Kluyveromyces lactis: one gene and its partners. The protein of the gene in region 1 interacts with the protein of each later gene in a biochemical or structural test. Links are inferred from orthologs where the notes say so. Each region holds a gene or a part of one and is shown in the gene's direction. Other genes may lie near its edges.

Evidence for each region.
Region 2: the proteins of KLLA0_A04730g (region 1) and PAB1 form a complex in vitro, tested with the Saccharomyces cerevisiae proteins (10 studies listed by BioGRID). The link is inferred for Kluyveromyces lactis from reciprocal best matches to the Saccharomyces cerevisiae genes TIF4631 and PAB1.
Region 3: the proteins of KLLA0_A04730g (region 1) and SCD6 form a complex in vitro, tested with the Saccharomyces cerevisiae proteins (3 studies listed by BioGRID). The link is inferred for Kluyveromyces lactis from reciprocal best matches to the Saccharomyces cerevisiae genes TIF4631 and SCD6.
Region 4: the proteins of KLLA0_A04730g (region 1) and TIF5 form a complex in vitro, tested with the Saccharomyces cerevisiae proteins (2 studies listed by BioGRID). The link is inferred for Kluyveromyces lactis from reciprocal best matches to the Saccharomyces cerevisiae genes TIF4631 and TIF5.

What each region holds. Positions count from the first base shown.
Region 1 is NC_006037.1:422,111-426,355, reverse strand, and holds the start of KLLA0_A04730g (uncharacterized protein), read left to right. Parts: upstream 1-1,427; coding exon 1,428-4,245. Other genes in the region: proteasome regulatory particle base subunit RPT6, read left to right, coding at 1-746. UniProt on the Saccharomyces cerevisiae protein: Component of the eIF4F complex, which interacts with the mRNA cap structure and serves as an initial point of assembly for the translation apparatus.
Region 2 is NC_006039.1:1,551,905-1,555,622, forward strand, and holds PAB1 (polyadenylate-binding protein), read left to right. Parts: upstream 1-1,417; coding exon 1,418-3,196; downstream 3,197-3,718. Other genes in the region: chromatin-remodeling ATPase CHD1, read left to right, coding at 1-563. UniProt on the Saccharomyces cerevisiae protein: Binds the poly(A) tail of mRNA. Appears to be an important mediator of the multiple roles of the poly(A) tail in mRNA biogenesis, stability and translation.
Region 3 is NC_006038.1:986,217-988,939, reverse strand, and holds SCD6 (Scd6p), read left to right. Parts: upstream 1-1,329; coding exon 1,330-2,220; downstream 2,221-2,723. Other genes in the region: ANT1 (Ant1p), read right to left, coding at 1-647; peptide alpha-N-acetyltransferase complex B subunit NAT3, read right to left, coding at 2,396-2,723.
Region 4 is NC_006041.1:552,114-555,232, reverse strand, and holds TIF5 (translation initiation factor eIF5), read left to right. Parts: upstream 1-1,350; coding exon 1,351-2,547; downstream 2,548-3,119. Other genes in the region: EMC2 (Emc2p), read right to left, coding at 1-820. UniProt on the Saccharomyces cerevisiae protein: Catalyzes the hydrolysis of GTP bound to the 40S ribosomal initiation complex (40S.mRNA.Met-tRNA[F].eIF-2.GTP) with the subsequent joining of a 60S ribosomal subunit resulting in the release of eIF-2 and the guanine nucleotide.

The sequences.
Region 1 (4,245 bases):
AAGAAATCAAGGAAGTCATTGAATTACCAGTGAAACACCCAGAACTATTCGAAAGTCTTGGTATCGCTCAACCTAAAGGTGTTATTCTATACGGTCCGCCAGGTACTGGTAAGACTTTACTAGCGAGAGCCGTAGCACATCACACAGACTGTAAATTTATCAGAGTAAGTGGTGCCGAATTGGTGCAAAAATATATCGGTGAAGGTTCCCGTATGGTCCGTGAGTTATTCGTGATGGCTAGAGAACATGCGCCTTCTATCATTTTCATGGACGAAATCGATTCTATCGGTTCCAGTCGTGTTGAAGGATCTGGCGGTGGTGATTCCGAAGTGCAAAGAACCATGTTGGAATTGTTGAATCAATTGGACGGGTTTGAAACTTCGAAAAACATTAAAATCATCATGGCTACAAACAGATTGGATATATTGGACCCTGCATTGCTAAGACCAGGTAGAATTGATAGAAAAATCGAATTCCCACCACCAACCGTAGCGGCTAGAACAGAGATTCTAAGAATCCACTCAAGAAAGATGAACTTGACCCGTGGTATTAACCTAAGGAAAGTCGCCGAAAAGATGAACGGATGCTCTGGAGCTGACGTTAAAGGTGTTTGTACCGAGGCTGGTATGTACGCACTAAGGGAACGTAGAATTCACGTAACCCAAGAAGATTTTGAACTAGCCGTGGCCAAGGTCATGAACAAGAACGACGAAACTGCTATCTCTGTAGCAAAATTGTTCAAGTAAGGATCCTTCACCCCTTTCATCTCAAACAGCGCATATCATTAGATACATCCCTACATATTATACATAAGCCACGTACAACACACGCCTGTGGTTGTACCCCCGTGTCAATATGTTTCTAATCAGATCCTCTCTTTTTCCCCCTCATCGCATCTCATCTCGTCATAAACTTGACCATCATGTCAATCTTCTCAATATACACGAAAGAAGAAAAAAAAAATTTTTACATTGTAAAGAGGAAAAGCTGTGAATCTTTTGAAATAAAATTTCAACCTTTAAGCCATTGAATTTTACCATTACGATAGCACATTTTGCATAAAACAGGATAGAGGAAAAGAGGCACAGAGAGCTACTGCTGATCTGATAGTCAATAGATTTATCAGCACTTGTATTGTTTGAATTGTTAGAGAGTAACAGTGGACAGTAAAGAAACAAATCTGGGAAAAAAAGAATCTCACAAGAAAGTGATAATTTTTTTTTGTTCTTCGTTTATTTGTTTAAAGAGAAAGAGTTAAGAATTGGACTTTAATTTCATTCTACTCATTCGTGTTTCTATATAACTCGACTCGTTTTCTCTAGGTACTCTGGATTACTCGGTTACAAGAGAGAAATTAAACAGAAAAGAGCTTAGATCCAGCTAATTTCATCTGAAGAAGAGAGAAAGAGCGGTTTTTCAAAGCAGATATGGGCGAACCTACATCCGATCAGCAACCAGCTGTTGAAGCTCCAGTTGTGCAGGAGGAGACAACCAGTTCTCCGCAAAAAAACAGTGGATATGTCAAGAATACTGCTGGAAGCGGTGCTCCTAGAAATGGGAAATATGATGGTAACAGGAAGAACTCTAGGCCTTATAACCAAAGAGGTAACAACAACAATAATAATGGTTCTTCCTCGAATAAGCACTATCAAAAGTATAACCAACCAGCGTACGGTGTTTCTGCGGGATACATTCCGAACTACGGCGTATCGGCAGAGTACAACCCTCTGTACTATAACCAGTACCAACAGCAGCAACAGCTGTACGCTGCTGCTTACCAGACTCCAATGAGCGGACAAGGTTATGTCCCCCCAGTAGTGTCTCCAGCTGCTGTTTCAGCTAAACCAGCGAAGGTTGAGATTACTAACAAGTCTGGTGAACACATAGATATTGCTTCCATTGCTCATCCACATACTCATTCTCATTCTCAATCTCATTCGCGTGCAGTTCCAGTAGTGTCGCCTCCAGCTAACGTTACCGTCGCTGCTGCTGTATCATCCTCTGTGTCTCCATCAGCTTCTCCAGCTGTCAAAGTACAGAGCCCTGCTGCTAATGGTAAGGAACAATCTCCAGCTAAGCCTGAAGAACCAAAGAAGGACACTTTAATTGTGAACGATTTCTTGGAACAAGTTAAAAGACGCAAGGCTGCTTTAGCTGCTAAGAAGGCTGTCGAAGAGAAGGGTCCTGAGGAACCGAAGGAATCTGTCGTTGGAACTGACACTGATGCAAGCGTTGATACTAAGACAGGGCCTACAGCCACTGAATCTGCCAAGTCTGAAGAAGCTCAATCAGAATCACAAGAAAAGACTAAGGAAGAGGCTCCAGCTGAGCCAAAACCATTGACTTTGGCCGAAAAATTGAGACTTAAGAGGATGGAAGCTGCAAAGCAAGCTTCTGCTAAGACCGAGGAACTAAAGACTGAAGAATCTAAGCCTGAAGAAACAAAGACCGAGGAGCTAAAGACTGAAGAATCTAAGCCTGAAGAAACAAAGACCGAGGAGCTAAAGACTGAAGAAACAAAGTCCGAGGAACTAAAGACTGAAGAACCTAAGGCGGAAGAATCAAAGGCGGAAGAACCAAAGCCTGAAGAACCAAAGACCGAGGAACCGACGACTGAACAACCAAAGTCAGATGAACCAAAGTCGGAAGAATCAAAAACTGAAGAGCCAAAAACCGAGGTATTAAAGACTGAAGAACCAAAATCGGAAGAATCAAAGCCTGCAGAACCAAAGACTGAAGAAACAGCAACTGAAGAAACAGCAACTGAAGCAAACGCCGAAGAAGGTGAACCGGCTCCTGCTGGTCCCGTTGAAACTCCTGCTGATGTTGAAACAAAACCTCGAGAAGAGGCTGAAGTTGAAGACGATGGAAAGATTACCATGACCGATTTCCTACAGAAGTTGAAAGAGGTTTCTCCAGTTGATGATATTTATTCCTTCCAATACCCAAGTGACATTACGCCTCCAAATGATAGATATAAAAAGACAAGCATTAAATATGCATACGGACCTGATTTCTTGTATCAGTTCAAAGAAAAGGTCGATGTTAAATACGATCCAGCGTGGATGGCTGAAATGACGAGTAAAATTGTCATCCCTCCTAAGAAGCCTGGTTCAAGCGGAAGAGGCGAAGATAGATTTAGTAAGGGTAAGGTTGGATCTCTAAGAAGTGAAGGCAGATCGGGTTCCAGGTCCAACTCGAAGAAGAAGTCAAAGAGGGATGATAGAAAATCTAATAGATCATACACTTCCAGAAAGGACCGTGAAAGATTCAGAGAGGAAGAAGTCGAAGAGCCAAAGGTTGAGGTTGCCCCATTGGTCCCAAGTGCTAATAGATGGGTTCCTAAATCTAAGATGAAGAAAACAGAAGTCAAGTTAGCTCCAGACGGAACAGAACTTTACGACGCGGAAGAAGCATCAAGAAAGATGAAGTCATTGCTGAATAAATTGACATTAGAAATGTTCGAACCTATTTCTGATGATATCATGAAGATCGCTAACCAATCTAGATGGGAAGAAAAGGGTGAGACTTTGAAGATTGTCATCCAACAAATTTTCAATAAGGCCTGCGATGAACCTCATTGGTCATCAATGTACGCGCAATTATGTGGTAAGGTCGTTAAAGACTTAGATGATAGCATTAAAGACTCAGAAACCCCAGATAAGACTGGTTCTCACTTGGTTTTGCATTACTTAGTCCAAAGATGTCAAACTGAATTCCAAACAGGATGGACTGATCAACTACCTACAAACGAAGACGGTACTCCTCTACAACCTGAAATGATGTCCGATGAATACTATAAGATGGCTGCCGCTAAGAGAAGAGGTTTGGGTTTGGTTCGTTTCATTGGTTTCTTGTACCGTTCGAACTTATTGACTTCCAGAATGGTCTTCTTCTGTTTCAAGAGACTAATGAAGGATATTCAAAACTCTCCTACTGAAGATACTCTAGAGTCTGTATGTGAACTTTTGGAAACAATTGGTGAACAGTTCGAAGGTGCTCGTATTCAAGTTACTGCAGAAGCTGTCATTGAGGGTTCAAGCTTGCTAGACACACTATTCGACCAAATAAAGAACGTGATCGAAAATGGTGACATCTCCAGCAGAATCAAGTTTAAGTTGATCGACATTGTCGAACTAAGAGAAAAGAGGAACTGGAATAGTAAAAATAAGAACGATGGTCCAAAGACCATTGCTCAAATTCACGAAGAAGAAGCCTTGAAGAGGGCTTTGGAGGAAAGAGAAA
Region 2 (3,718 bases), on another chromosome or scaffold:
AGAAGTCTGCTACTACTGCTGGGAACAGCAATGGGAACGAAAATGCCCATACCGCTGGTACCCCAAGTGACGGCAATAGTGTTAACTTAACCGGCAAGGACTCTACACCAGACAATAGCTCCGAAACAAAGCGTGGCAAGGCCCATCACCATCAACAACCATCATCAAGATCTGGTACGCCTGTCGTCGGATCGAAAAAACAGCAGAGGAAAGGTAAAGACATACCGTTGGCACCAAAAGCCGATATCCGTCTTCCTGACAAAGAATACGACAGTATGGACGAAGAAGAGTGTAAGAAAACGATGACAAACGTCCGTAGCTCACTCAAACGTCTAAGATCTGGAGGAGACGGTCTTGAACGTAAGCAATGGGCTAACCTATTGAAGAAGGAATTGAAACGTGTTGGTGACTACATCGAATCGCACAAGAAGGACTCGTCTAAGACCTCTCCAGAAAAATATAAAAGACATTTATGGTCTTTCACTGCATATTACTGGCCAAGAGATGTCCCATCTTCCAAACTCCTGGCGATGTACGACAAAATCAAAGCCTCTGAACATTAATTAGTCAAATGTAACAAAACATAGAGATATATACGCCTATCAATTTACGAAAAAAAAAAAGATATCTAATCAACAACATATTGCTATTAGTTATTATTACCTTCATAAATGACATGAGGCACAAGGGCGCACCAGAAACAGCCGGCTGCTAGTAAAATACCTGGTTTGTTGTGGTGATGCCTCAGATCATTTCGCACGTACCTACCTTTCCTTTTGTGGAAAAGCTTTAAACTCTTTTTCAACTCTTTAAATTTTTCAATGAAAATTTTCACTTTTTGGCTAACTCATCACAACAATTAAGGACTGTTCTCACAGAGATGGATGAATTATATAACGATTTTAAATAAGTTCTTGTGATGTTGTTTCATTTATTTAATTTGTTATAAGTTTTTAGTTATCTTGGTTAGTTTATACTGTTTCGTTTGTTACTTATTTGTATTACCTTTCTGGTTCAGTTATTGTAACATTTTATTTTGTGCAATTTGTTTGTTTAAAAAGACCACGGTCAAAGTCAGCAAACTCTCTAAAGGTATCATCTGTATCCTGTATTTTAATTGTTTTTGGTAAAAGAAAAGAATAAGCGTGGTTTATATCTTTTTAATATTAGTCAAAACATTCCAGTTAGAAGTCTTTTTGAATTCAAGTTAACTAAGGGTTTTTCATTTCCATCCATCGTTAAATCAAAACTTAATAGTTTCATCAAAGGTTCGCAACTGTGTGGGTATTAAACAAAACAATACACTAAAATACACATTAAAAAACCATAAAAAAACATATATTTTAAAAACACATTACAAAACCAACCAACCGCCATCTTTTTCGGTTAAATTTATCTCATCTCATCTCATCTCATAATGTCTGATATTACTGAAAAAACTGCTGAGCAATTGGAAAACTTGCAGATCAACGATGATCAGCAACCAGCTCAATCTGCCAGTGCTCCATCCACTTCTGCTTCTGAAAGCGAAGCTTCTTCTGTTTCTAAGGTTGAAAACAACAACGCTTCATTGTACGTTGGTGAATTGGATCCAAACATTACTGAAGCATTGTTGTACGATGTGTTTTCACCATTGGGTCCAATTTCCTCGATCCGTGTTTGTCGTGATGCCGTCACCAAGGCTTCGTTAGGTTACGCTTACGTTAACTATACTGATTACGAAGCTGGTAAGAAAGCTATTCAAGAATTGAACTATGCTGAAATCAACGGTAGACCATGTAGAATTATGTGGTCCGAACGTGACCCAGCTATCAGAAAGAAGGGTTCTGGTAACATTTTCATCAAGAACTTGCACCCAGCCATTGACAACAAGGCTTTGCATGAAACTTTCTCCACTTTCGGTGAAGTCTTGTCTTGTAAAGTTGCTTTAGATGAGAATGGAAACTCTAGAGGCTTCGGTTTCGTTCATTTCAAGGAAGAATCCGATGCTAAGGATGCTATTGAAGCCGTCAACGGTATGTTGATGAACGGTTTGGAAGTTTACGTTGCCATGCACGTTCCAAAGAAGGACCGTATCTCCAAGTTGGAAGAAGCCAAGGCTAACTTCACCAACATTTACGTCAAGAACATTGACGTTGAAACCACTGACGAAGAGTTCGAACAGTTGTTCTCCCAATACGGTGAAATTGTCTCTGCTGCTTTGGAAAAGGATGCTGAGGGTAAGCCAAAGGGTTTCGGTTTCGTTAACTTTGTTGACCACAACGCCGCTGCCAAGGCCGTTGAAGAGTTGAACGGTAAGGAATTCAAGTCTCAAGCTTTGTACGTTGGCAGAGCTCAAAAGAAGTACGAACGTGCTGAAGAATTGAAGAAACAATACGAACAATACCGTTTGGAAAAATTGGCTAAGTTCCAAGGTGTTAACTTGTTCATCAAGAACTTGGACGATTCCATCGATGACGAAAAATTGAAGGAAGAATTCGCCCCATACGGTACCATCACCTCTGCTAGAGTCATGAGAGACCAAGAGGGTAACTCTAAGGGTTTCGGTTTCGTTTGTTTCTCTTCTCCAGAAGAAGCTACCAAGGCTATGACCGAAAAGAACCAACAAATTGTTGCCGGTAAGCCATTGTACGTTGCCATTGCTCAAAGAAAGGATGTCAGAAGATCCCAATTGGCTCAACAAATTCAAGCCAGAAACCAAATCAGATTCCAACAACAGCAACAACAACAAGCTGCTGCCGCTGCTGCTGGTATGCCAGGCCAATACATGCCACAAATGTTCTATGGTGTTATGGCCCCAAGAGGTTTCCCAGGTCCAAACCCAGGTATGAACGGCCCAATGGGTGCCGGTATTCCAAAGAACGGTATGGTCCCACCACCACAACAATTTGCTGGTAGACCAAACGGTCCAATGTACCAAGGTATGCCACCTCAAAACCAATTCCCAAGACACCAACAACAACACTACATCCAACAACAAAAGCAAAGACAAGCCTTGGGTGAACAATTGTACAAGAAGGTCAGTGCCAAGATTGACGACGAAAACGCCGCTGGTAAGATCACCGGTATGATCTTGGATCTACCACCACAGCAAGTCATCCAATTGTTGGACAACGACGAACAATTTGAACAGCAATTCCAAGAAGCCTTAGCTGCTTACGAAAACTTCAAGAAGGAACAAGAAGCTCAAGCTTAAACTTGATTTTTTGACCTTGATCTTCATCTTGTCCTTTCTATATCTTTCCCCCGAAGAAAAAGAAAAATTAAAAAAAAAAACGAACAGCTAACTATATGAATAGTCTCAGCTTCACGCATTGGAACTGGGTGGTGCTAATTAGCTTACGCATTGTTATAGACCTAAACTAGTCGAAATAAACTACTTTCTGCCACTCTTCTTTTTCTCTCGCTTTTTTTTTTTTTGTTCATCACAGGCTTTCCATTGTTGCCAAAAATGTTGTGCTTTTAATCTTTACCAATAAAAAAAATTACCACGCTCCACATATACCATATTACCACAATCCATCACATCACTCTACCCTTTCTCCATACCGCTAATTCAATCCGGAGGTATGCCCCATTTTTCTCTTCAAATTTTTTCTTACTGATTTTTTCTATCTAACTATTATTGTTACTCTACCCGTTTTATATAATACTAAAGCTCTAATGGGAGGACATTAGTAGTCTTTTTAATGAAGAGGTTTTTCGCATTTTCAAAAGG
Region 3 (2,723 bases), on another chromosome or scaffold:
AGGACTAACGAGACTTTCAGACTTTTCCAGAATCCAGTAATCCCATCCTCATCATAAACCTCCTTGGCAATAGCCTTGAAACTGTTGTCCCCTTCTAAACCACGTCTAGTCTGTTGTTTTGTCGAAACAATGTTGATTGGATTAGTGAATAACTGAGAGGTTGCTGCTGCCAGCATGGAAAGCAGCAATTCTTCAATTGTTGAAAACCTGGCAGCCTCACCCTTCACTTTCTTCACACGGAAATAATGTCTTCTGATCAAGGTATACCAGAAGAAATAAGAGAAACTCTGTATGAAAGTTCCAAGCAATGATGCGCTTAACCCATGGTATAATCCACCAAACCCTTCATTCCGATAAACTTTTACAATCACATCTAATGCATGCTTATACCGCTGCTCCAATGACTCTTTAGTCGCTGTCGGAGGTTCAGGCTTCGGTTTAATCTGCTGTATACCGTGTTTCTTCGGTTTACTGGAGCCAGTACTTTCCTTGGTAGAGACATCAGCTTGAACATCAGAAGAAGGGTACAAATCACCTTGTTTCAACTGAGTTTGAATCACAGTTTTCGCCAAATCAAGTGGATACACTGCCAAATTGGCAAACCCGCTGGAGACTGCCCCAACGAAAGCATTCTCTAAACTTGCCATATGTTACGGTGGTACGTGATTTAATTGACCCTGATCTACTAAACTTCGGCGTTTATAAAATTGATTATCTCCTGTTCACAATAAATTGTTAGAGGGGCGGTGATTCATTCAATAAGCACTGCAAAGTACTAAATTTACTTTTTTTTTTGATTTTATTATTCTCCGCTTCCAACCGAAGAGTTTAGGCTTGAAAACAGGAACATTTTGCACTTTACACCTTAGAAATTATATTCCATTTATATAGTAGTTACTTTCCCAGAATTATTCCCCAATTAGATGAATAGCGGTCACTTATCACAGATTATTTTCCAGTTTTTCGGCTGTAATGTCCCTTCTCCACACATTTTTTGGCTCTCGTCTGCCTCGAAGTGAGGATTCTTCGAAAAGAAAAAAAAAAAGTGTTGATATTGATCACGTGGTTTTGAAATGCCATTCGTCAACATCGAAAATTAATATTGAAACCGTCAAAACTATGAATTTCCATGCAGGTATTTCCAATTGAAGAATCTTTAGAAATCTAAGGGACTATGACATTGAATAATACTGACTGCATCTGCTAACGTTCGCTCTTAATTTAGAACTATTCCCACACTTTGATCGTTGTTCAAGAAGGATATTTGTTTGTATCTAGTGGGTTTTAGAAGTTAATTTATTGATTATAGAGTGTCCACTTTTTGAAAGGATGTCGCAATATATTGGTAAGACTATTGCTCTTATTTCGAATACTGATAACCGTTATGTCGGCTTATTGGAGTCTATTGACTCTGAGAAAGGTGTTGTTACTTTAAGACAAGTTCGTTGTTTCGGTACAGAGGGACGCAAGGGATGGGGCCCGGAAGAAATCTATCCCAACCCTAATATCTACGATACGGTGCCTTTCAACGGTAATGACGTTAAGGATTTAAACATTTTAGACGTTCCTTTGGAACAAGTACAACCTGTATTGCCACCTCAGGTAAGCGGTCAACCACCAGCTCCGTTGGCTAATGCAAATGGGCCCAACGTTCCTGCTGCGGTGGCCGGGTATGGTGTGTACGCTCCAGACAAGGATCAGCAGCAAGTTCCCCAACAACACCAGCAAAAACAGCAGCAGCAAAGACAGCAGACCCGCCAACAGCCTGTTACCGAAAAGAAAGTTCCTAACCAGCAACAGCAGAAGTCTGCGGCTCCTGCTGCTCCTGTGGCTGCGGTGGCTCCTTCTGCTGTTCCAGATTCTGAATTTGATTTCGAAAGTAACAACGCCAAATTCCAGAATGCTGAAAAGCCCAGAGAATCAGATATAGAACAAGAGAAGCAAACCTCCAAGACAGATGAGATTTTCTACGATAAAAAATCCTCATTCTTTGATTCCATTTCAAGTTCCGCCGTAGAAAACTCGTCTTCTGCCAAATGGGAAGAGGAACGCCAGGTCAACTTGGATACTTTCGGTCAAGCCAGACCAAGAAACAATGGTCGTGGCGGCTTCAGAGGTCGTGGTGGATATAGAGGTAACCGTGGCGGTAACCGCGGTGGCTTCCGTGGTGGAAATCGTAATGCTGCCAACAAGCCACCAGTCCATGATGTTGAATCTTAACAGAACCCCATTAAATACCTATTATCTCAACTACCTCTTAACACACCGGGAAATTGAAGCTAACACGAAATGAATCGAGCAATCTATCGAAGTAAAAGCAGGGAAAGACGCATGTGTAACATAGAAACACTAAGTATACAAATTTAAAAGCTATTATAATTTTAAAAGTACAGCATTAAAACCGTATGTCCATCGGCAAGCAATTATGTTTCCGTCCATCAGCACGAAGACTTTTTCCCTGGTCTCTTTCCATCCCATGTCTCATGTCAAAGGCATCCTTGAGGTCATTTGGTTTTGTTGACCGGGAAGGTATTGGATCAGTTTGCGAGTTGTAATATCCTACAACTCTTCTATAGACAGAATATCCCAATTTTTCATATAAACTGATCGCCAATTGGTTATTGCATTTCACAAATAAATCAATAAAGTTCACATTATGCGGGGAGTTATCTGTTATGGTTTTTAATGTGTCACATAGCATCGATGCAAGCGATATTCTCCTG
Region 4 (3,119 bases), on another chromosome or scaffold:
TTTCTCTGTTATCATTATTTTGCTGAAGTTCTTGCAATTTTCTTACAGCTAATTGAGTTAATTCAGGTTTTTTATTCAGTTTCTGAGATGTCTTCAATACAATACCCCAACCTTTCACGTAGGCTTCTGCCAACTCAACAGATCTCAACGCATTTGATAAACTTGATTGCAAAGCAGCTTCAGGGTCAGAATCTGATTGAGACTTCAAGTAATGCAAATAAGCTAATTGACCAAATGCTTCATAACTGAACGGCACCCCAATTATGACTTCTTCCATGCAATATATTGCTTGACGTAGGTCCCCAGCCTCCTGGTATTCTTGCGAAAGTAACGACCATATTTCTGCATCTAGAGGAAACTTCTCAACCAGATCCAGTAGTTCTTTTACCCATTTTTCTTTACTCATCGAAGGTCTCTCTATCGCAAGTAGCCTTTTCTTCATCTGTACGTAGTCTTCTGAATCAGTAGCTATTTCCAGCTGATTCTTGATCAAATCCTCGATATATTTCTTAGCCGCATCATCGGATCGAGTGACCTGTATTAACATAGAGTGCATCACATGAATTCTTGGAGAATCGTCACCTAGACGATCTGTCACAGTTTTGTACAATGTTTCAGCCTCTGTGTCTTCACCACGAACAAGACAAAGATAAAACAATAATTCGACCATTGAGAAATAACTAATTTCGTCAAGCCCATTTAACCCAGCATCTATCAAAAGTTTCGTTTCCTTATAAGCCAAATCAATTTCTTTAGGTGGCAGAATGGCCCATGCGCCAGTCTTATGGATTGCCAGTAATTTGTTCTTAAGTAAATCCATGATATGAACAAAGTTAGATTTCGACCCTAAGATGTATGTGAGATTCGAGCACAATTTCAACACAGTAAATTACTCACTAAATTCCACGAGCAGTAATTGTATTGAAGGTATTCAAACATTTAACACCACCATACGTATCTCACCCATGTTATACCCTGTAATATGTCTCTTACAGAACCGATGCTTAAACAATCACAGAGCCAAATGAATCGTTGGAGCTAAAGCACGTGACACATGCTCCGTTTCGACATGTATTTTCATATCACCATAAACGACGAAAATTTTTCAGGAATCAAGGCCTCAGTATCTGATTGCCACACGCGAAGAGTTGAAGTTGAACTTCTAAGAGATGAGATGAACTTCTTCCATATACATGATTCAAGAAGGCGTTAATGACCCCGTTTTACAGTCCAATACAGGATCAGTTCGAACTTACTTTTAAAAGTTTTTGTGTTTTCCAGACTTGAAGAACGTCAAAGACACGGTGGTAGCAGAAACAAGTGACTAGAGATTAGTAACAGTAGCCGAAGATGTCAATCAATATTTGCAGAGACAACAATGACCCTTTCTACCGTTATAAAATGCCTCCAATTCAGGCTAAGATTGAAGGTAGAGGTAATGGTATCAAAACTGTTGTTATGAATACCATGGATGTTGCCCGTGCTTTAAACAGACCAGCTCCATACATCATCAAATATTTCGGGTTTGAATTGGGTGCCCAAACTGCTATCAATGTTGAAAATGATCGTTACATTGTCAATGGTGCTCATCAACCAGCCAAATTACAGGACGTATTGGATGGTTTCATCACTAAGTTTGTCCTTTGTGGATCCTGTAAGAATCCTGAAACTGAAATTGTTATCACTAAAGATGGTGATTTGGTTAGAGACTGTAAAGCTTGTGGTAAGAGAACCCCTATGGATTTGAGACATAAGTTGTCCTCGTTCGTCTTAAAGAACCCTCCTGACAGTATGAACGGTTCCAAGAAAAAGAAGAAGGCTGCCACTGCGTCTGCTAATGTCAGAGGTGGTGGTCTTTCTATTAGTGATATCGCTCAAGGTAAATCCCAAGCTGAAGCTGGTGACGATGCCGAAGAAAACGATTCCGATGATGATGAATTGGCCAGACAAATTAATGCCGCTGCCTCTAACTTGGCTACCATTGAAGTCAAGGATGAGGACTGGGCCGTTGATATGTCTGAAGAAGCCATCAGAGCTCGTGCGAAAGAATTACAAGGTGAAGCTGACAAAGAAACTGGCGAATTCTCCAAGTTGGAAGAATTTGGTGAATGGGTACTACATGAAGAAGAACTACCTACCGATATTGAATTATACAAAAAGATTGCAGAACTCGAGCTTCTGGAAGATCCAAAGGTTGCTGCAGTTCTGGCCCAAGTTCTTTTCGATGAAGATATCGTATCGGATATCTCTGAACATACTGCGTTCTTGCAAAAATTATTGAAGGACGAAGACTTCGAAAAGAACTTTTTGGGTGGTATTGAAAGATTCCTTGGACTTGATCACCAAGAATTGATCCCATTACTACCAAAGATCTTGGTCCAATTATACAACAACGACATCATTTCCGAAGAAGAGATTATCAGCTTCGGTACCAAATGCTCTAAGAAGTTTGTACCAAAGGATGTTTCTAAGAAGGTTCGTAGAGCTGCCAAGCCATTCATCACTTGGTTGAAAACTGCCGAAGAAGATGATGAGGATTCGGAATAAAGAAAATCATGATCTTATAAGAAAATGGTCAAAGTTCAAATACTATTCAAATTTTAACCAGATTTTTCGGTGTTTCGTTTTCTATTTATCATCCTAACCATCTCCTTGTTTTGCATTAACAGAATAAATATCATTTTCATTTTATCAAGAGCGAACTAAATCTCTTCAATATTTATCCTTTAGCTCTGTAAAATACTGTATGTATACTATCATATATACGCATATGTTTAATACATTCATGACCTTGCGCATACATCATTAGCGGCTCAAGAATGGCACTGATAGGTGCGCCGTGCCGACCTGCCCTTGTCTTCTTATAACCTATTTATTGTCTTTCAATATTCAGCTGTGATGATCCTTTTCTCTCTTTTGTTTACACTTTCGTGGAAAAAGAAGACACAATTTGAGATCAAATCATATTTACATCCTGAATGGACAAGAAGAATACTAGGTCCTGTCAAAAGAGAAGAATAGGGTGCGAATCTTGTTGGAAGAAGAGTAAAAATACACTTTCATCAGACGGTTTCATTACATGAATGATCTGTAGGTTTGATTTCTATGGCGTACTGTAA